Linked DNA regions of Rhinolophus ferrumequinum. The protein of the gene in region 2 interacts with the protein of the main gene of each other region in a biochemical or structural test. Links are inferred from orthologs where the notes say so. Each region holds a gene or a part of one and is shown on either strand. Other genes may lie near its edges.

Region 1 (7,583 bases), on a different chromosome or scaffold from region 2:
AAAAGCTTGCATCCTCCAAGAACAGGTATTACCCTGAACAGCCACAATACCATTATCATACCTGAGAAAAGTAGCAACTGTCCAACACTATTCAGTACGCTGTCCATGTTCAAATTCTCCCAGCTGTTCTAAAAAATGCTTTTAGCTTTTTTCTTTCAGTTGAAGACCTGGGTAACATTCACACATTGCATTTGATTGTTATGTCTCTTTAATCTGCCTTTGTTTTGTTTTTCGTGACACAGGCTCCTTTTTTTTGGAAGAGGCCAGTGCCTCTTGTAGAAAGTCCTGCATTGTATTTGTCCAGGGTTTCGTTGTGATTCGATTTAGGTTAATATTTTTGGCTGGCTACATAGGTGATTGTTTCAGTTAGCACTTGATGAGGTTATCTCTTTTTTGGTTATGACAAGTTTGGTCACTTGTTTAAGGTGATGACCATTAGGCTGTCATCTGTGGAGTGATACTTTGAGTCCTGTGGGAATGTCCAGGGCCTCAGCCCCACGGTGATCCTTGCCTGACTCATTTGTGAGATTGAGTGATGGTAAAACGGTAATTTTCTGATCCTCCCAGTCCTTCTACATTTATTAGCTGGCATTGTTCCGGAAAGAACGAGCTTCCTTTAAAATTACTGTGGAATGATAGTAAAAGTCAATGTATTACAATCCATTACCATCATCATTCTTGATTACTACATCTGGAGCTACTTTAAGGCATTTTCTGTATCCTCTTGAACATAACCCAAGCATCTTGAAGTTTGGGGGAAACTGAAACTCAAAAATTAAAATCTCAGATCTCTTAATCACAGTCACATAATCTTTCCAGTTCTTGGGCTCACTGTCTTTGGTTCAAACTCCGTTTTTTTGTTGTTATTGTTCCCAACTTATACTCACCTTCTAGTCTTCTGGTTTTCCAGGCCTCTCACATCAGTGTCATCAATTATCCTTTCTGTTCAGCAAGACTCCAGCTTCTTGATGCTTGATTCTTTCCCTCTGGTTTTTCTTTCTCTCCATAAGACATTCTTTTGTCCTGTTCCCCATGTAAACTTTTCCTTTTAAGTTTTCTTCAGCCCTCTCTTTCCCAAGCCATTATTTTCAGCCCTATTCATTTCCATTTTCTAACTCCCTGCTACTTCTCAGTGTCCCACTGATTACTAATTTTTTTTTCACCACCAGTGTTCCCTTCTATTAGTTTCATTCGTGGACTCCCATTTAAAATCTTTTGTGTGTCAGATTGCATTTATTGTTTTTCCATTTTTGTTCAGCGGAGCCAATGTGAGCTTTATTGAGTATGACATGACAAATGCACCCACACTGAGAAATGTAATTATAGCCCCAAACTAGGAAACCTGGTACTTTAGTTAGCCTCTCTGACATACGAGGGAATCATGTATAATCTGGGCTTCCGTATTTGGACAGAGATTAGCTGGCAGTTTTCATGACCACCTTCCCAGGACCTGGGCCTTTCCTCTCATATTCCACCTAGATTGCAAGGCTCCATCAACTTTTCTATCCTCAACAGGTTGGAAAGGTCTCTAACTCCCAGGGACTCACTTTGCAAGGACCAGGGTTTGTATTTGGTTTTTAGGATTGCATATGCAGGTCGGCTGGGAAATGTTTCCTTTTCCTCAACAATCTCTCAAGAGATTACCCTTTCTCTGAGGACTTCTCTATACCCTGGAGAGACAGTTTCTCATAATATAGGGCTTTTCTTATCCCCTGACTGCCTGTTCGTGTCATTTTTTTCCTTCTTGTCTCACTCTGAACCAGGATTTCCTGACTATGATGGCCTGTGAACTTTTCTCCCTGTTACAAATGCAATACATATTTAAGAAAAGTCAATAAATACTGATGAACAAAACATTATAATAGCTAACATTTTGGGGGCTTTTAGTATGGGTTGGGCACTATATAGTTGTTAACTTAGGTAAGACTGACAACAACGAGAAAGGTAGGGTTTGTGTTATCCTCACTTTTCCTTCTTTTTCAGTTGAGGAAAATGAGATTTGAGGTTAAATGACTGGCTTAGGGTCATCAGCTAATAAGTTGTGGAGCTGATTTTCAAATCAGATCCAAGACTTGTTTGTATTACCCTTCCAGAGCTTTTTGTATACACAGATACACTGGGGGTGCCAAAAAAATGTACACATTTTAAGAGATGTTATCTACGTATTACTTTTGAAAGTTGATTTACGGTATCAATGTGCAATATGATGTTTGTTCAAAAGATGGCATTAGGGGAGGCCAGATAGCTCAGTTGGTTAGAGCATGGTGCTTTTAATAAAGTTGCCAGTTTGATTCCCACATGGGCCACTGTGAGCTGCACCCTCCACAACCAGATTGAAACAACTACTTGACTTGGAGCTGATGGGTCCTAGAAAAACAAACTTAAATACATAAAAATTAAAAACAAAAAAAAGGCGTTAATCAAATGAATGCTAGCATCATTTGTTGTATTACCATTTTAATATAATACAGTTTTTTCCTTTCTTAAAAAGTGTATACATTTTTTTGGCACCCTCTGTATATGCACAAAAATGGAATCATATTGTGTATAAACACTTTCTACTTCCACCTATTGTGACCATCTTTTCCTGTCAGTAAATATGCTTCAATAGCTTTCTTTTTAATCTAGTGACCTTCTGTTCCCTCTCTCCCCGGCCCTATCCCCAGGATCGATGAGAACGTGCTGGGAGCCCAGCTGGATGTTGAGGCCGCCCATTCGGAGATCCTCAAGTACTTCCAGTCGGTTACGTCCAACCGGTGGCTCATGATCAAGATCTTCCTCATCCTCATTGTCTTTTTCATCATCTTTGTGGTCTTCCTTGCCTGAACCCTCTCTGCTCTGAGGCACTCCGCGGGGGTTTGGAGCTCACCTGGGAGGGCAGGTGGCCACTGCTGCCCCTGAGCCTGTGCAAGGTGCTTGGAAGAAAGGCCCTGTTTTCCTGGAACTGCTAAGAATGGCCACTGCCCCTGATTCCCCACCCCTTGCCTCTGGCTACCCTGTCCTCCCCTCACCACCCTCAGGCCCACGAAACACACATGGTTCTGGATTTGGACTCTGCTGTGAAGTGGCTGGAAGGGAGCAGAGGCCAACTGGGCGGCCAGTGGGGGAAGTTGTCTCCACTAGGAGATTTTTATAAACCCTCCCCAGCCTCTCGCAGAGGAAACTTTGGCAGCAAGGGGAGATGATGCCCTTCCCCACATCCTGAGAGTGAGGAGAGGAAGTGAAACTGCCCCAGGGACCAACTTTCCCATCTGGGTTAGAATTTGACCTCTTTCTTCTTCCTCTCTTCACCATGTGAGGTGGGGGCCCTGAGCCCCTTGGCTGCCTGCACAACCCCAACTTTGGCTGCTGGTGACTCTCAATCTGCCAAATGAGCTGCAGCCAGTTTCTCCCAATTACAGCAAGACCGTCAGCCTCACTAGCCATGTTGTCATTTCTGGGTGGGAGCGTCGAAGGGCCAGGCAGCAACTGGAGTGAGCCCCCTGCCCTGTACCAGAACTTTTCAGGTTGGGCTGATGGCTGTGAGAGGCAAGGCTTTGGGCTCTGCACACGGCAGCCTCCGGGCAGGGGAGAACCAAGTGCAGCAGCACTTCATTAGCATGGCAGCTTCCCTTCAAAGGGGGACGCAGGATCCCAGAGTGGGTTCCCGACTGGTGGCAACTTCCAGGACCATCTCCAGCAGTATTTGGACCTGTTTCACCTGCATCCTCCAACCAGTTGGCCCCAATTTTCCCCTGAGCTGGATGAGGCAGGAGCTCTGTCTGCTGCCAGGAATGAAAAGTGAAGAATTTGTTCTCAGCTCCAGCTGAGGTTCTTGATCCCCTCCAAGCCCCTCACCAAGTCCAAGCCAGTCACAGGAGAATGAAGGTGAGACGTACCTGGAATACCCGCCCTCCAGGGAGGTCATTCGGAGATCACTGGATTCCTCCCACCTCACACACCCCAGAGGAAGCTCAAACTATAGACGACAATCACCATACACTCTGCTGGCCCTAGTACTTTGGGGGGTCTAGGAGAGCCCATGTCTTTCCTAGCCCTGGCATTTTAAATTTCTCCCCCCTCCTCAGCCTCTGTTCAGCTGGTGGCCCTGCTAGAATCTTTACTACCCAGTAGACACACCATGTGGGCCTAGGACAACACATCAGTTGTGGGTGGGGCTGTTTGTGAAGACAGTTGCTCCGTCAAAGCCTGACAAATGGCAGCCTTTCTCATTTGATTCCGCAACTCTTCGGGGGATGCATAGATCAGAAATTCATTTATTTCACAAATACTTGTTGAGTTCCTGCTATGTGCCAGGCATAGTACTGAGTCAGGTGCTGAAGGAAAAAAACCGTGAATTATTCAAAGTCTCTGCTGCTTGGAGCTTACGTTTAGTTTTCTATATCCTGATAATCCATTTTACAGGCGTTGAAAACGAAGCGTTGACCCGCAGCCCACAGAGGGCTGAACTGAGACAAATACGGGTTATATCCCGCTAGGGGTCTGGGAGCCTTCACTCCCGCTCGGAGGCCCAGGTCTCCCATTCCTGGGAAACCCTTCATGTGGCCCCTCTTCCCCGCTCCTCTCGGAGTCCTGGGCGTCAGGAGCCTGCCCTCTGCTCCAGCGCTAATCCTGGAGGTGCTGGCGTAGCCGCGGACGGAAGAAAGCGGGCGGCAGGGCGAACCAGCCCCAGCCTTTGGCTAGGCGAGCTCAGGTCTAGGGCGAGTCGGGCAGCGGCGGAGCCCCGCTGCGCGGCGCGGCCGTTCGCCCAGTGCGCACGCGCGGCCGTCTGCGCTCCTCCCCGGAGGCACCGCCCACTACCTGGGGACGTCGACGGCGCGCGGCGCTCTGGGCCAGATAAATGCGGCGCTGCCGGCCGTAGGGGCGCTTCGACCTGGATCACCTGGGCGTTCTGACGATTGGTGGCGTTGTGGCCCGCGCCTGAGCCCGCCCTGCTTTTCGCTGTGCCATGGCGGACGGGGGGAAGTCATACAACGGTCAGTGTTGTCCCCGGGGGTGGGAGCGGGGCGATCTGGGCCCCGGGTGGGCGGCGCTGGCCTAGGCCGCAGCCCTGGGGCTGGAGGCCGCGAGGGGCCCGCGTCCGCGGAGAACGGTGGAGGCGCGGGTCTGGGGCGAGGCAGCCCCGGGGGTCCCACCGGACTCGAAGGTGGGAGCCCGAGTTGTTGACTCCGGAATCCTGGCGTTGCGAGGAGCTGCGGCTCGGTGCGGGTGGTTCGGCGGTGGGGTGACGAGATTCCTTTGAACTTTGTGGGTGGTGGATCCCTGTCATTTCAGTTTGGCGGCCAGACTCTTTAATGTGAGTCAGTGCCCTTCTCCTGAGCTACCTGTGCCCTATTTTCTATCGCGTCCAGTCGGTTTTGTCCCCCTTCCCTGCGGTTTTGGCTTAATATTTTAGATCTACACACCATCTCGATGTTCTAGACCAAACACTATACTGGGTCCAGAGTAGTGGTTTGGAGCACATGACAGCCGAGATTTCAGTCTTGAGTTGGCTACATCAAGCTTGAGTGAGTTAAACGCTCAGGCCTCATTTTCTACTCCCTTAATGCAGGTAGAAACAGTACCTACCTCCTAAGTGTGTGTGTGTGTGTGTGTGTGTGTGAGAAAATGAGATCATTCATATCAAGTGCCTGGAGTATGGTAGTGCCTGGCACTGGAGAAAGTTCTCAGTGAATGTTAGCTGTGCTTTCTATTCATTTCTTCTTTTTTTCTAGGGTCATTTCTTGAAGTTCATTGTTTGCAGGGTGCTGCGCATTAGGCAGACCTTGTTTGAAGTCATCGATCTTTTTTTAAGAAACCATTCCTACACACCAGGATTCAGAGGGTCATATTCCTAGAGAGCAGTCGAGAACTCTTGGTTAAGCACCCTAGCTGCCATTAGAACCTGCATCTAGAATTTGTCTTCTGAGTTAAAAGACATTTCTGGCCAAGGAAACAAAGAACTCACTCCCAAAACTTCAGAGTTTGAGAACAAGACTTTAAAGAAGTCCTTAAATTGGTCACATTTGTAACATACACTGTATAGGCAAAACAAGCATCGTTTATTGAAAGCTGATGTAATAGTTGTGGTTGCTTGGTTTAAGGGGATGGGAGAGGTCACCATTCAAATACTGAGTAGGGTTAAGTAGGTTTGAGAGTCCGAGTGAAAGCAGATTTCATTCAGGTGACTTTTGAGGGGTCTGAGTTGTGCCCAGTTTCACTTTTGGGTCACTCACATTTCCACATTGTGTTTCTCCTCTCTGTACTTCCAGTTTCTGCTTCATTTTTCAAAAGCCCTGCATGGTTTCCCAGTGGTTTTTCCCTTTTTGGTGCCATCCCACACAGAGGGTTCTTTCTCTGGAAAGGCGGGGGAGTTTGCTTGGAGGTAGCCTCTGCAGTTAGTTTGTATCTCATCCAATAGTGCAGCGATACTGTAATTGGTGCCACAGCACAGCAGCTGGGCCAGTTTTCTAGTTTGTGTTCTGTTCCCAACTCCAGAGCATGATGATCGAGTTAATTTCCCTCAAAGAAGAAAGAAAGGTCGGGGTCCTTTCCGGTGGAAGTGTGGTGAGGGGAACCGTAGGTCTGCAAGAGGAGGTGCTAGCATTCGATCTTCCCACCTTGAAGAAGATGACAGAGATGTGGCGATGAGTGATGCCCAGGATGTTCCCCGAGTAAGATAGTGAGTAACCAGTGGATCTGGTTTGAATTTGTCGACTCTTTTACTTATATACTGTTACTGTTTGTGTCGTTTCTCTTCCTACCTACAAGAGTGAGGACTGCCAGGACCAGCTTAATGGTTGAACAGTCTTAGTTGTAGTTCTCATAACAGTGCAGCAAAGACTTTGAGAAGCCATTCCTAGTGTTTATGGACATTTTATTCTCTATTTCCACACAGCAACCCCTATGCTGCACGAACTAACCGTCGGGGCGATAATTGGCAGGATCGAGACCGCATTCATGTTACTGTGCGAAGAGACAGAGCTCCTCCACCGAGAGGAGGGGCTGGCACCAGCCAGGACGGGACCTCAAAAAAGTGGTTTAAGATTACAGTGAGTATCTTGGAAATAGATGGTGTAGGAGAGATGAGAGGCAGGGCTCAGAGTGAAGGTGTTTACCCTTCACACCACAAAATTAGTCTTCTGAGCTGTTTACTCCACAGTCAGGTATCCGTCCTTTGGCATAAGGATCAATGTCTTAGAACCTAAGGGCAGGTGCAGAAAAGGAATAGAAAGAATAGGCAGCACGGGGAGGAAGGCAAGGCCATCTAAAGGGAAACGTGATGACTGATTGGGAGGTGACATAACTCCTTTGGATGTCTCCATGTGGCTCAGACTGAGTCGTGGGGGTTGGGGCCCCTTGACTTCTGAGGGGCAGGCAAGGTAGAAATAATATCTTAGGACTTTTAGAATCAAACAATTTGATTCTTTTGATGAATAATAAGTATAAATAGACAAAAAGGAGGTTAAGGAATCCATGTCTGACTCCAGTAGTAAAGCTTTAACTGGTGTTTTCTTTAGAAAATCTTTTAAACCTTGGCAGACTATATGAAGCACTAGGTTGTATCTCCTTTTCAGCCTTAGTTTCATATTATTCCCGGCCCT
Region 2 (7,480 bases):
GAGCTCTGGGACCTGTAACCCAGAAATGGAGGATGAAGACCAAATATGTGTTTCTTGTAAATCACAATATTGCCAACATGCACCCATATTTTGGCAACAATGCTCCCAATAATACACGTTCCTATTTGTTTAGATGGTAGTGTTGAGCCAACGAAAAGGCCGTGCCCCAAAACCCTTCCCTTAGAGAGCCAGGGAACCCAAGTTCAACTGAGCAAAAATAAATACATGGCAGAATGGTCCATTCTCCTTCCCTCTGAGGTCAGAGGAACAACTCATTGAAAGAGAAATACAAAGGACTAAAGAGAACAACCAGACAGGCTTCCAGCCTCCGACCTAGAACTTACTCTTCTTGGGGGTCAACCTCAGGACTGGCAGCAGTTTTAACTTTAATATTAGAATGATTTCTCGGGAAGGAAACTACGTTAGCACTTCATTATACTCCTCTCTCTACTATGCAACATAAAGCAAGTAACTTACCTATCTTATTGGGATCGTCTCCAGGTTTATTTTGAATAAGAAGATTTTTAGTAGTAAAAACTTGCAACCCACTGGCTCCTCCAGCGAAGACCAGGCCATACTTGTTGGACAGGGCAAGCAGACTGCAGCGCTCCTTGGGCAACTCCTCAGGGGAGTCAAAGATTCTCACTTTTTTCAGTGCTCTAAACTGAAAATCCTGTTGTGAGGGATCAAAACAAGATCAGTTCAGGGAAAACAGGAAGTTAAATCATGTCTGTCATCATATTACAGTAGATCCAATTCCAGTACAACCAAAACACCTATTCCCGAGACCAAGGACTGTATGACCAAGCCATTTATAAGCTGCCCATGCGTATTGTGGTACGTGGCATAGCGCTTATTAATATTTATTCAATGGAATAAATTTCTAAAGATTCTATCCTTGACTAATTCAACTCACGGTGACCTTGTCCTTTTCTGAATTCCTAGTTTATTGTCTTAACCACCATCCAAGCTGCACTTTGTTATTTACTACCTTGTCTTAGTTCATGGTATGTATTGTCTCATGACCGAGTAGTGCTTTAAAAGCTGTTAAATATTCAAAGCATCATCCAACTACACTGTAGGCTCAAACTTCTACTGCAGTACTCAACAAATGTGTGTGTGTGTGTGTGTAAACAATGACCACAGAAAGATAACCGAATCCCAAGAAATGACCTACCTGCATCAAATGTTAAACACAAAAAGGATATGCATGGTCAATCTCTTGGTGTTCAAGACCTGAAAACACACCTGGATGCCATGAGGACATTTACACACAGGTGCAAAATCCTTAACACAGGCTGTAAGGCCGACTTGACCCATCCGCCTCTGGAGCCTCACCTTACAACACTGCTTCCCTTCTGCAAGTGCGTGCGACATCACCTCTGCCACATCCACTGCCACCTCCCGGCCCCATGTCTATCCAGTTTTCATTTCCTTCCATTTTCAGGCTCCTTAGTAACTCAGGGCCTGGGAACATTCCCCAACCTCCTGTCAATGCCCGACTCGCGTAGTCTTCCATGAATTTATCTACATGCTTCCAAAGACAATTTTCAGCGCGCAGAACCTCTTGGTAAAAAAAGAGTTCCGTAAGTTTACCAAATCACTATGTTAAGGTGTGCTATATGTGGTTGAATTTTTTTTCTTCAATTATATACCTATCCTTAAGTTGAGGTTTGGGTGAAAAGACTGCAAATCCCCTTTTGCTTACATTCCAAAACTGTAAAAGCGAAAGAGAGCCATTATCAGCTTTCACTTTTGTACACTTACGGTGTTTCATACAGGATCCCTAACACACCCCATACAAATTTCCAATGGATTCGATGTTTAATGCACATTTGCTAAAAGATTAACTGAAATACTCTTAATTCCAACTGAGCACGATGATCAAAAACACACACATAGTTTTCCAGGTGAAACCATACTATCTATGGTTTCAAACAGAAGTAAAATAAAATTTTTCGGTCTGTTTTTGTGACTCTCATCCTGATAATCCCAAATATCCTATTTGGGTCTTGGTCACATGGGGTGGAGGGCCAGTGAGATGAAAAGGCACCAGAGTGCTCTCCTTTCTGTTGTAATCAGCAACTTAAAGGGACACTACCATCTTCTAAGTCTGTGGTTCTAAAACCTTTTTTCCTTCAGCCCCAGCGTGTCTGAGGAATACGGCACCTTCTCATTGGGTGGTTCACTCAGGCAGTGATTCTCAAGAAGGAAGAGAGAGTCACTACTCTCTAAACGTATTTCAGTGATTTGCTGTTCGAATGCCTAACATCTTCCGCAACTTACTCCCTTTCAGGTGCTTGTAACCATCACATCATTGGGATCACGTGCCCCTCTCCTTAGTTTCCCGACTTCAAGCAGACTTCCAGTACCAGAACAGTCCTCCTATTCTAACGAACTAGATTTTGTAGGATAGGTGATGAACCCCGGCTCTGCATCAGACAAGCCCGGAGAACCTTACAGAAGTAAGACAATGAGAGTGAAGAGAGGGTCTTACAAAACACACCTGCATTACAGCCTCCTCGTCAAATGCGATTTTGGGTAAGTTACCTTCCGAACCTTGACTTGCATCTTTATATTAACTATTTCGTAGGGTTGCTGTGTGATTACCCCAGTGCCTGGCTCACAGTAAACGCTCAATAAACAGCAATTATTACCGCTACTCCGACCACCATATTAAAGTAGCTAGAGAAACTGAGGTGGAGCGCACAAGACCACCCAGGGAAGGGGACACTGCACTCGGCGGGGCGAACACGCCGGCGGCACCGCAGAGTGCTCCAGGACGCGTAGGTGAGAACTCTGAACGCCGGGAAAGTTCAAGCGGGAGGCGGGGCAGCCGGCACCCGCGCTTCGCCGTTCAGCGGGGCTCCAAGGCAACGCGAAGGCCCCGGCCAGTATCTGACCTTCATCTCCCGCTCGGGGATCATGGCATCCATCTCGTCTCCCATCGCGCCGGACTCAGCTGGTCGTAGCAGCAGCCGCAGCTGCCCGCGGCCTTGCCCACACAGCCCAGGCCGCTCCAACGCCAACTTCCTTCCTTCAGCGCTAGCGGCGCGCAGCGAGGCCCGAACTTCCGGCGCGCGTAAATGGCGTCACGCATTTCGGTGGGCGTTGCGGGTCGAGGAGGCTGAGGGAGTATATGAAGTCGCGCGCTCCCGAGGCCGCCGCCTCCCATTGGCCGGCTCGGCCCGCGCGCCTGCGCCCTGGAGCGTCCAGGCCCCGCCCCCCGCGTCCGCAACCAGAACGAGTTTGCTTGGTGTTGGGTTTTTTTCCATCGGACTGCGCATGCTTGAGCGCTCCACGCTCAGTGTTCCGTGGAGACCCCACAGTAACCTTGGGATGGAGGTGGCGATTAATAGTTCTTGATTCAGAGAAGTTGGGACTTGATAAATATTTCCAGGGGAAGCTCTTGAGAGAGGCTTTGGAGGGGGTTGTGGAGGAAAAGGGGTTCAGAAAGTGCGTGGGTTGGGGCCTCGCCACGGGAGACTTCTGCGTCTAAGCACGAACGCTGAAAAAGGGGAGGTTAAAAGGCACCAGAGGTCGTCTTTGTTTATTCCTGTCAAGGTAATCATTTCCGAAGCAAGAGCCTGGAAAGCGCAACACACTTTGGATGTGTTCTTTACTCTTGAAGACGTCCTGGTCCCCCAGGAGTTATTACTGCCGTTTAACTGACGAGGGGACGAAGCAGCAGGGAACGTAAGAAAACCACCCCGCGCCCCGTGGTCGCAAAGCGGTGGAGGCTGGATTAGAATTCAGCTTGTCTGGGTGCTCACTGATGACTGTTATGTACGCATTGCTGCAGTGGATTTATATCTTAAATGCTCTAGGACAGAGGTGCTTAACTTGAAGTAGGGGCCATAGTCTGCCACGGACTGTTTGGTTTTCAGCAAATTGCGCATCTGCTTCAAGGCTGCTTCTCATTTGTAAAACGAGGATGACAAACAACCTGTCTCGTGGGGTGGTCGTGAGAAGTAAATGAAGTTAGAGCTTAACAGAGCCTGCTACACAGGACGCATTCGTTCAATGGTACTTTATCAGGTAGCTTTCCTGAATTTGCTGAGTCCCAGAACCCCTCCCCCAAATACACCAATCAAGACATTGACAGTTTGTCTGTTTTATTCCCAGTGTGCAGAGATGGTATCTGGCACCACACACTCTCATACGCACGCGCACACATACTGCATCCACTTGAACTTGCCCCACACACTCCTTCCTTTTGAGTTGCAGGGACAAAGCCACACTTGGCAATCCCCAAGTTTCTGGTTACATTAGTTAGATTTGGTCTTTCAGAGAGATAGCTGAAATTCTAAGAAAATGAGCCCTTAGCCAGAGAAGTAAGAGTCCCAGGGCCAACAGCCACAACCTGAAATATATGCAGCGCCCCCCCCTTTCCAGAAACCACTCAAGCCCCTCTCCCTCCACCAGCTGAGTTCCAAGAAATGGCAAAGGAACTTGTGTGGTGTCCCAGGATACTCCTATCCAATGAACGCTCTGTCCTGCTCTTTCCAGAAGCTGGGGACACACCCACTCGCTCCCCCTTAAGGCTTCCCATGGCCTTGTAAACTGGGGAACCTGTGGAAAATAAGCCTGGTTGGTTGTGCCCTCCTCTCTGAGTGAGGACCAAGTACACTGACGATGTGACGGGGAGTCAAGACTTGACCTTGCTCAAAGGTCTCGTCGTGTCCTAGAGAGGAGACGTAGTGGGAAGGGGTGGGGACAGGCAGTTGCTCAAATAATGATCTCGGGTGGAAAAAAACCAAGGCAGGGAAGGGGGTGGGGTGAGATTTTACATTTACAGGGAAAACTGTTTTGCTGGGGTTTAAACTTCAACTAGGCCTGTGCATTTGAGCAGCTCCTTAGCCTAAGGACCAACCAGCCACGGCCAGGTAGTCTTGCTCCTGAACTGGTTGAGACCAGCAAATTATCCCAGCCTGGCCCTTACCCCATCCCCGACCTGCTCCACTCCCTTAAGCTGCTGTAAGGCAGCTCCTTGGGTCTTTGATTGTGGGTCACTGAGGAGCCACAGAGAGCCCACCGTGGCTCTAACAGTACCCAGACATTTCCACTTAAGGTTTGGCAAATGCTTTTGCAAGGCTCTTGCTCAGTCTTGAGCCCATCTTGGTCTCCCCAGGATTGCAGTGCAGTCACCCCATGGCCCCCCTTTCCTTTCATCTAACTCGTCCTTGTCCGAGTCTGACTTCCTCACTAGGCTCTTAAATTTCACGTAACTGTCTATTTCATGACTGGGTTCTTAGCTCTCGGCCCATAGCAGGTGCTTAACAAATATGTCCAACTGATGATTGCTTCTAAGTCCTGAGCAGGCAGGGTAAGGGGCTCCAGAACACAGGTGCGGTCAAGGCTGGGGTCCCTGCTCAGCCAAGATGGGGCCGAGTGTGACAGCTTCCTGCGTGAGTTCTGAGAAGTGGCTTAGCTCAGAAGCCCTGGGGAAGGCGGAACCGCAGAGGCAGGCCTGGCCTGTCCCCTGATCCTGCTGCTAACTCAGAGGCACTGGAAAAGGTGAGTCCTGGCCCAGGCCCCGCCCCAAGTGCTGTCCTAGGAAATAGCCTCGCCCTGCCCCTTCCCTTGTTTTCCTCACTGACGGAAGCAGCCCCGAGCAGAGGTGATGCACGGGCAGGCCATCTGAACACCTGGGCTTCAGTCCAGACTCTTCCATCTCGATTAACTCCTAACCTTGGGCCAGGCACTTAATCCCTGGGGGCCACCACAGTTTCCTTACCTGTGAAATGTGAGGACTGGCCCAGCTAACCTACAGGGGGATCAGACCTCTAAGACCCTGTGAGTCCATAATAAGGGACACAGGTGACCCCAATGGAATCCCCATGCTCAAGGGTTTTGGGCGATTTGGAAATGGGGAAATGAGTTAGAGACAGTGGACACAGCACATGTCAGGACAAAGTGGAGGGGGCCGGCCTTAAAGCTTATAATAGATGGTCAATAAATATCTGTTGAATGACTGAGTAAATGAATGGTCTGAGTAAGTTGGGCAGGTCGTGGGGGAAGCAGTCGGTTTTCAAGCAGACTGGGATCAGAAAGGCAACCTCCTGTGTCTCAGTTCTTGGCTTAACAGTGGTGCTGACTTTTTGCCGTGAACATTTTATTCCTCATTCCCCTAGCCTGTTGCCCTCAGCATCCTCCTAAAAGGTGGGACTAGACTGAGCTGAACCCCGCTCCCCAAGGCCCCTGGCCTCCCCTCTACCTCTGAAGCCCTCTGCTGCCCCAGCAAGGGACAGGGCTCCCTCTGAGCTGTCTATGAAGGTGTGGACAAGGGGTAAGGCCAGAAGATTCCTTCCAGAACCTTCTTGAGGGTCTCCAATTACCAAGCCCCTCTCCTTGTCTCCTTCTGCACCTCATTAAGGGCGAGAAGAAGTGTGGCCCGAGCGGGGATCAGCTGGGGCAGTGAGTGGCCACGTCCTGGACAACCTGAGAGCACCGGAACTTCAGAGCATCTGAGGAAACCCTAGTGAGGCCCTGCAGCCTCGTCCCTACTCCAGGGTCTTCTGAAAGTGGGCTGAGGTCCTCACCAGAGCCAGGCCAGCGAGCCTGGACTTAGCTCAGTGACCTCCAGCAAGGATGGACAATGCCGGCTCCAAGTGTGGGGATCACAGGCTTCCAGCTTCCCTGCCCTGGCCCCGCCACTTCCGGTTTTTGGTTTGATGTCAGCCCTTCTGCACAGGGAGTGGGGAAGGAGGGAAGAAGAGAGGGAGGGGCCCCAGAGCCCCTTTAAGGCAGATCATTTGTGCTTTACAAAGAGATCAGATTCTGCAGATGAAAAAACAATCATGCCCAACAACCAGGAAAAAAAAAAAGACATTGCAATGAGTCCAGAAGTGCAGCAAGATCAGGAGGGAGGGGTGGGGCAGGGAGGGCAGGGACAGGTCCCCGCGGGGTCCTCAGGGCAGGCTGGCAATGTCTCTCTCTGGAGGGGGACCGACTGGCTTGGGACTGCTCTCGGTGGCCTTTCCTTCAAACATCATGACTCTGGTTTAGAGATGGAAAAAAAAACACAAAACGAAACAAGATTAGGATTCCTCCCCTCACCCAGGGAAAGCTCACCCAGCCCTCACGTCCGCAAAGTCCTCAGCAGAATGCCCTTCATCCATTCTCCAGCAGGATCTTCTCGGAAGCCTAGGATGGCAGCTGCATGGAAGGGACTCCTAGTCCCATTTGACAGAGGAGAAAATGGCGCAAAGTGGCGACATGACTCCTCAGAGCCACAAGCAGTCCAAGCAGGATGAGAGCCTAGATCTCTGACTTCCAGGCCATGCACCTTCCCCTAACCACGCTGCCTGGAGGAGGCAGAGCTAGGCTGGGCCACGGCTCTGCTCACAACCCCTTTGGAGCTTCAAAACCTCCCACTGCTCCGAGGGTCAAGTCGGGGGGTGTAGGGCACAGGGGTTTATGGTGCAGCCTCTGGAGGGAAACAGCCTGGATTGGAGTCCCAGCCCAGCTACCGTCCCAG
Region 3 (7,878 bases), on a different chromosome or scaffold from region 2:
GTGGTGGTGGTTACACCACTGGATACCTTTGTCAAAATTCACAGAACAGGGGTAAATTTTGCTATATATTATACCTCAATAAGTTTGACTTAAAAAAATTAGAGAGCCAGCCCATGAGATCCAACATTCAACTAATAAGAATTCTTGAAACAGGGAATGTAGAAAAAACAATGGGGGAAAAAATCAACAATGAAATTTTCAAGACTATTTCCCATAACAGAGGCCAAGAATTTGCCTGATTGAAACGGACCCACTCAGTGCCCATTAAAATGGATAAAAATAGACCCTTACCAAGACACATCATCATGAATTTTCTGAATACTGGAAATAAACAGAAAATTCTCCAAGCTTAGAAAGGGAAAAACAGGTCACAACAGGAATCAGAATGGTCTCAGACATCTCAACATCAAATACAGAAATCTAAAAGGCAATGGAAAAATGCCTTTAAAATTTGGCAGGAAAATAGCTTCCAACCTACAATTCTACACCCAGCCATACTATTAACCAAATGATAGGGCAAAATAAGATGTTTTAGGAAATGCAACAAAAAAGTTTACTTCCAACACACCTCCAGAAAGCTGATGAATGGCTCCACCAAATCAAGAAAGATGAAGAGAGGGGATAGAGAAAGGAGGGAATACAATACAACAGAAGAGGAGAGAATCCCCAGAATGAAGGCAAAGGGAAATCTGCCCTGTTCCCCTCCATCCCCCAAAATCATTGTGCTTTGAACATAGGGGGAACTAGTTCAATGTGAAGCAGGCTAAAAGACCTGGGAAAAGTGAAATTGATAAAATACTTGCTGTGTCTGCACATCCTGAGATAGACAACTACCGTGTTTCCCCGATAATAAGACCAGGTCTTATACTAATTTTTGCTCCAACAGACGCATTAGGGCTTATGTTCAGGGGATGTCATCCTGAAAAATAATGCTAGGGCTTATTTTCTAGGAAACACAGTAGTAAAACTGGAAGCCAAACAAGTCCGGGGCTCGTGCTGCCTGCGCTGCTCAGCCAACTGACCGACAGAGGAATTGGGTCATAGAATAAGCGTTTATTATCAGAGCACCTGTGGTCTGAGAAGGAAGCGGGTTAACACCTCCAAAAACTACCTTAACATTCTCAGTCCAGTGTGGGTATTTAAAGGAAAATCTGGGTGTTCTTCCAGAGGCTACAGTGATATTCTCTGGTAGAGTCAGGAACCCAAGAACAATGATGGGACTAGACTGGAAAGAATGCTGGACAATTGAGATTGTGATCAATAAGCCTAAGGGTCAGGGTAATTTAAAACAGGGAACTGGGTGGGACAGGGGACATTCTGAGCTCCAGCCACAGGGGGTTGATCTATTATTGTTAGTAAGCTTTAGGTCGGACAAGGAAAGGTGAGGCCAAGGACGGGAGAGGCCCTTACTATGGCGGTGCCAATCGGGCCCTGTTTCATTAGCAAAGAGCTTGGGGTTGAATTTGGTGATAAGTACAGAGAACACAAAGCAAACACACATGACAATTACAAATTCCAAGGAAAAACAAAGTTTTACAGGAAAGTGAAAATATTCATAAATTACTAATATAAACCTGAAATACTGATGTAACTAAAATATAATGAAAAGATAAGGAATGGGAAGGTGTGCTTGTGTGGTGGGATGGAGGAAGGAGTCAAAAATCAAAAAATACCTAGAGCTGCAAATTCAAGAAGTAGCAAAACAAGCATGTTATTTAGGGAACAAGGAGGTCAATATTGTAAATCAGTTTCAAGAGAAACAGCAGTTGTCTCTGGGAAGGAAAAAATTGGTGGTGTTGGTGGGAACCAGTTTTTAAAAGTTTTGACTCTCTGAACTATGTGCATATTACTTATTGTTAGGCCATGTTTAGGCCAAGAGCAGAAACCTGCTTATCCTAAAAGCCATTTCTGTCTTGCTTTGTCTTTTGTACCTGCTGGCTTGTGTTTGTCTCCTAGGGGCTTAGGATCAGCAGGCTTGGGGGCTAGAATGTGGAACCTGAGGGCTTGGTCGTACCCTGAAACCCCCCTGAAGCATTGAAGGGGGAATAGCCTCGTTTACCCCCTCCTATAAAACTCCATACCCCTTTTCACTCAGGGAGTTTATGGTCTTTTCTAGCCTGACCTCCCGCAGCTCAAACATGCCAAATAAATTCTGATAGACCAATTTTGGTCTCCAGAAACTCATTCCTCCAGCCGTGCCTAACACTTATTTTTTATCAGTTATAGAAAATAAGACAAAGTCCTTGTTCTCCAGGAATTCACAGAAATAAGTACTAACAGAAGTTCAAAGCACTATCAGAACTGAGAATGCCTACGTGGGAGAAATTAACTCTAGATAGTAACGTTTAACTCCTTATCTTGCTTACTGGATGTCAGGCCCAGAACAAAGTTAAGCAGATCAAGAGAGGATTTACTGCCTGCCAGACCTACTGAGTGGTTCATTCATCATCACTTAGTAAGCTGAGGAAGCACACAGATCTGTATAACCCATGGTCCCTAAACCCAAGAAGCTCAGAATCGGGAGGTGGAAACTGACACCTACAAAATGGATTACAATCCAGGTTGTTGAGTGCAATCAACCTACGACCAATCGGGATTACAGGAAGACAGGCAGGCTGGGCTCTTTATCCGTGGGAGCACTTAACCGCGCTTACGTAATTTGGGAAGCGGATGGGTAAACAAAGCCAGCTCAGGGTCCAGGCTCCATCCCCTCCCGCACCCCATCCCGGCCCTGACCAGCCCAGGCAGCGTCCTTTCCCAGAGATCTGATCCCCAGCCAAAACTGGCGCTCTGACCCTTTTACAGCTGAAGCCAACTCACCGACTCGGCCGCCGCTTCCTGCTCGTCCACCGCCAGGGCCCACGAGTCGGTGGCCATGGTCCCAGGCGCAGGTGGGACGCTGGTGCTGGCCGACTCGCTGGCTGGCACGGCGCGATCGTGGGCTCCCGGGGGTCGCAGCAAGCCCGGCTTCGGCGCCACCGAGGGGGAAGTCCTACGCTTCGGCGCTGGGGACCGGAAACGGCGCGCCGCAGTGACGTCGGAGGCCGCGCGGGCCCTGACCCTTTTGGGGCTGTCGCTTCTGTCGCCTTCTGACCCCCACCCTCACCCCTGCCTAACTCACGCTTTTTTATCCAACATCCAGAACCGCAGGCTGAGGTAGTTATCTTAAAGGGCCTAAGCTCTAGTGAACGGGCTGTACAGCCCCATTCCCGGAGCCCAGCACAGTGGCACAGAAGCAGCTCACATAGATTGCATACACAGAAACACAAAACCATTACGGGTGTCACCACAACGCACACTGAAACGAGATCTTTTTTTCTCACTTTTCAGGTTGGTGATTTCAAATGTCCTGGTGTGGGCCAGGGTGTTGGAAGTCAGCCCTCTCAGACACTGGTTAAAAATTTGTCCCACAGAGTACGTGGCCACACGACTTAAAGGAATTTCACCTTGAGAAATACTCCAGGAAGGTACTAGGGAAATGTGTTCCAGGTAGAGGATCAGAGACAAGAAAGAGCAGGGATGTTTGTGGAGCTGAACAGACAACTGAATTTCTATAGGGAAATGACAAGAGCCAGGGATGAAGAAGTTGGTAGGTGAATGAGGCTTAATGAGCGGAAGAGTTCACTCCAGGGAACGCCTCCCAATCGGCATGACTTTTGAAGTTAACTGTGCCTAGATCAGAATCCCAGCTCTCCCGTGTAAGGGTTGTGTGACTGGGAAGGTTTTTAAAAAGGCAAAAATACCTTATGCTTTTTAGAAGAGGTGAAAATGGGATTAAGTATGACAGATGCTTTTCTCTAACATTAATCATACAAGCTTCTCTCCTTTTGTTATTTCACTAGAAAGAAGCTGTGCATTTTCATGCAACTTGAAAAATTAATCCCCACATATCTCACTTTGCCAATATTCCACTGTGATAAATTCATTTCAAGCAGTAGTGAGCTCTATGTGGAATTTTACCTGGAGATTATTAGTCAAAATGTTTGGGAAAGGATAAAGCAGCTCCCCTCAATCCTTTACTTGCCATGATTCTTATTCTCCTGCACCCTCTAGGGGTTAATTTAGGGAAGATTTATTTGGAACCTATATAGGTAAGGATTTTGCAAAAAGAAAAAGGAAAATGCCAGCTGGGGAAGCCGTGACCTACATCTCATCATGTCAGAAGCAACCCTGGGAATATTTTTCCAGAGAAATTATACTGATCACAGGGCTAAAGGAAATTAATGGATGTTTTTCAAGTTTAATGAGGTTAAAAAATAAATAAGCCAAGGTGCTAGAATGTATATAATAGAATCCACTTGTGCAAAAACAAAACAAAACAAAGTCACGTATATGTACCTACTATACAAAATGTTTAAGATACACACAAAACTGATAACAGTGGCTGCTGCTTCTAGTGAGGGGCTTCAGAAAATCTGGGGTGGGAGAGACTTCCTTTTTGTTGTGTACACTTTATACTCTGAAATTTATTTTCCATGTGCATGTGAGTATTTCAGACAAATAAGAAAGGTGATAATATAACAAACATCTAGGTTCTCCCCTCAGGGTTTAAGAAATAAAATAAGACTCAAATGAAGTTGCCTGCATAGCTATCCCAAGAGACAGCAGCTCTCCTTTCCATAAATGCCTTTAGCATGTGTTGCTTTTTCTATTTAAAAAAAAAGCTTAAAAATAAGCATCAGGATTCTAGACCCTCCTATGCCACCCCACACCTGCACAATGTGAAACTCCTGTTAAGGAGGAATCTGGTCTCCAAAGTGGAGTGCGGAAAGAGGACTCAGGAATAAGAGCATCTTGGATATCAAGTAGGCCTCCAGCATGTATTCCCACATGACTTTAGGCCACCTCCACCTCCTCTGAAATCACGCTAAGTACCTGTCTCACAGTTCGAGGATTCAATGAGATCACAAGGTTAAGGCCGTTGGTACAGTGCGCAGTCTATAGAGAAGACTCAATACATATTAGCTGTTATTATTAACAGTTAATGGGGTGGGGGCAAGGACGATAACTAAATGTAGAAAAAAAGGTCTCATGTCTACCCTCTAAGAATACTCACGTCTCCCACCGGTAGGGCAAACGGAAAGCGCTCCGGGGCACGATCGCGGACGTGGCCAGCAACCCCAGCCATCGCCCTACTGCATGGCAGTTACCTCCACTAACAGCCGCCCGAGCCTCATTGGCTGAAGCCTGGAAGCCAGTCCCGCCAGCCAATCAACGCACCCAGGTACCTTGGGGCAAATGGACAATTCTAGGCTCCAGCAGGGGGGTGCCTTTGGGTGAGTTCTGTCATTTTTCACTAAATGTAGCTCTCACTGGTTAGGCTGGGAACTCCATGAGGGCAGGGTAGTGTCTGCTTTCTTTAATGCTTATCTTCAGGGACTAACGCATAACAGACACTCATTTGATGAATAAATAGATGGGGAACGAACCCCTCCGCACCCCCTCCCCCATCAAACCTTTTAATCTTTGTCTTTGAACAAACAGATGAAAAACTTCATGCTCCAGTTTCGGCCCTTGCTACTCCAAGTGTGATCCCCCAGCAGCATAGATAACATATCTTGGGAGCCTATTACAAATGTAGAATCTCAGGCCCCACTTCAGACCTACTAAATCAGGATCTCTATTTTAAGATCCCAGCTAATTCCTATAGCACCTTATGATCTGAAAACAATTATTCGGCCAACCCCACTTGATCTGATAGCAAATAAATGAACATTCTAAGTCCATTTTATAGATGCTAAAAGTAGCTTAGGTGCCACGGGAGAGTTAGAACTAGGACTACATCTTTCCAAAACTAAGTATTTTAATTGTACCATCTTGAACCCCTGTTATCTTGCTCATGCCCCAAGGTGAGGTTCTACCAATGTTCTATTGCCAAGCAAGCCATATGTATAGCAATCACTCTTACCAACAGGCCTATTGCTTAGTCCAGAATAATAAGTTTCCTAAAGTATGCAATTTGCATGATGCGTTAAGATAGCTTTCGATTATCAAATATATGGTGATACAAGGAGAACTGACTCTAGGTGGTGCACACAAAATGTGATTTATAGATGATGTAATACAGAATTGTACACCTGAAATCTATGTAACTTTACTAACAATTGTCACCCCAATAAACTTTAATTTAAAAAAATTAAGTATAAACCAGAAAAAAAAAGATAGCTTTCTATTACATAGTTGACATTATCTATGAGAGAAAAATATCATGGAGAACTGGATAATTATCTGAAAAATTCCTGTAGAAAATTCATGTTTGGAAGAATGTGACTTTGGGGCCTCAATTACAGTTTTTCCTCGTATGCCACTGGGTGAATGAAAAAAACAGTTATTTTTAATTTGTCTCAAATTCTTTCATTAGTGAAGGTGCTATCCTAACAGCAACAACTCTGGCAACACAGCAAAATTATTGAGACTACAATCTATATTCTTTTCTTTTACTTTGAAATCACAATTTGTACAATTTTGGCTTTCCATTTTAATTGTGGTGGCACATAAATCTGACCCATTTCTCAGATTGTTTAGGCTAAATATGCCTAACATTTTTGGGCCCATTTGGATCAGAACAAACACTTGTCTCTCTTGGTTTTTGCCTTTAGCTGTCTTAACCTTACTGCCTCAGTTTCCTCAGTGTTAAAAACAATAATAACAGTAACTCATTATAAGGTTGTTATGAGGATCAAAAGCTAAGATCAGTGCCTGCTGCATATGAAGTGCTCAACAAATGTTAGGTGTAATGATAATTATTAATGCGTTGCTGTGAATTGGGAAGTTAATTCAGGTGATTTATTTCTCATTGGCTTTTAAGCTTGATTTTCTATTTAAGTAGGATGCTATTATATTTTACATAAGGAAAGTCAATATTTTTCTGCAATATTTTTAACCCTGTTATGACCAGTAGCTCAATTTTATACCCATGTGTTTTGGACATGTAAGATGATGTAGGTAATAGTGGAATGGGTAAGAGTATGAGGTTTGGAGTTGTTACCGGAGAGGGGGCCCTTCTCGGTGAGATGCTTGGGCTTGGTTTCCACACTGGGGGTCGAACCTGGCAGTGTCCGGGCTTGTCTCTCACACCGAGGGTCAAACCCGGGCCTCGGGGAGGAAAACTGGGAATCCTAGCTGCTACGTTACCAGAGGATGGGTCCTCCTCGGCATGGTGTCCAGGTTCTTGGCATCTGAAGCAAAGAATTGAACGAGACACAGACGTAAAGTGGTGAAATAAGTTTATTAGAAGAGATAGTACACTCCAAAGAATTAGGAGTGGGCTGAGCACAAAGAAAAGCGGCTCAAAGCCCATTGTTAGAAGCAAAAGTACACTCCAAAGGGTTTGGAGCAGGTCCCGAGCAAAAGAAGCTGCTCAAAAGGCTCAAAGGGCTCAAGGGTGGTGGCTCACAGGAGACTAGAGGTTTTGTCTTTTTTTCCTCCAGGATGGGTTGTTCCTCTCCAGGTGTGGGGCCACTTGATTGACACCTGTGATTGATAAGGAGCCATTACCTCATCTTCTTAGACTGTGCATGTCCCTTCCTAGAGTTCAGTCTGTTATAATGATATTAATGAACTACTGGGCATATGTGTGGTATTACAATGATGGTATAATGAGGGTAGGGTGAGATGGAGGTGGTGGCCTTCTACCATGCAGGTGTGAGCGACTGGTCCAATTTAGTTATGTCCTCACAGTGGCTAATGGCTAGAGCAGATAAGAAAAAAATTCAGGAGGTCTCCAGCCTGTCCTCCCCATAGATTATGTTTGATGTGCAGGAATGCAGAGACCCAATTACCCGTCTCTAACTGCCTGCCTTATTTTTCCTGAGAGACGTAATCCCATAAATTTCTGTGGGGAGTTGGGGGGCGGGAGGTCTCTTCTTCTGTATCTGC

What was found.
Region 1: the proteins of NUP214 (region 2) and NXF1 form a complex in vitro, tested with the Homo sapiens proteins (4 studies listed by BioGRID and IntAct). The link is inferred for Rhinolophus ferrumequinum from reciprocal best matches to the Homo sapiens genes NUP214 and NXF1.
Region 3: the proteins of NUP214 (region 2) and ATP-dependent RNA helicase DDX19B are reported together in a solved structure, tested with the Homo sapiens proteins (2 studies listed by IntAct, with this or other methods). The link is inferred for Rhinolophus ferrumequinum from reciprocal best matches to the Homo sapiens genes NUP214 and DDX19B.

What each region holds. Positions count from the first base shown.
Region 1 is NC_046294.1:8,033,885-8,041,467, forward strand, and holds the start of NXF1 (nuclear RNA export factor 1), read left to right. Parts: upstream 1-4,581; 5' UTR 4,582-4,948; coding exon 4,949-4,976; intron 4,977-6,477; coding exon 6,478-6,661; intron 6,662-6,877; coding exon 6,878-7,031; intron 7,032-7,583. Other genes in the region: STX5 (syntaxin-5), read left to right, coding at 2,667-2,826.
Region 2 is NC_046295.1:79,177,643-79,185,122, reverse strand, and holds the start of NUP214 (nuclear pore complex protein Nup214), read right to left. Parts: upstream 3,063-7,480; 5' UTR 2,949-3,062; coding exon 2,904-2,948; intron 674-2,903; coding exon 478-673; intron 1-477. Other genes in the region: AIF1L (allograft inflammatory factor 1-like), read right to left, coding at 6,912-6,999. UniProt on the Homo sapiens protein: Part of the nuclear pore complex. Has a critical role in nucleocytoplasmic transport.
Region 3 is NC_046298.1:22,020,872-22,028,749, forward strand, and holds the start of ATP-dependent RNA helicase DDX19B, read right to left. Parts: upstream 3,023-7,878; 5' UTR 2,878-3,022; coding exon 2,821-2,877; intron 1-2,820. UniProt on the Homo sapiens protein: ATP-dependent RNA helicase involved in mRNA export from the nucleus.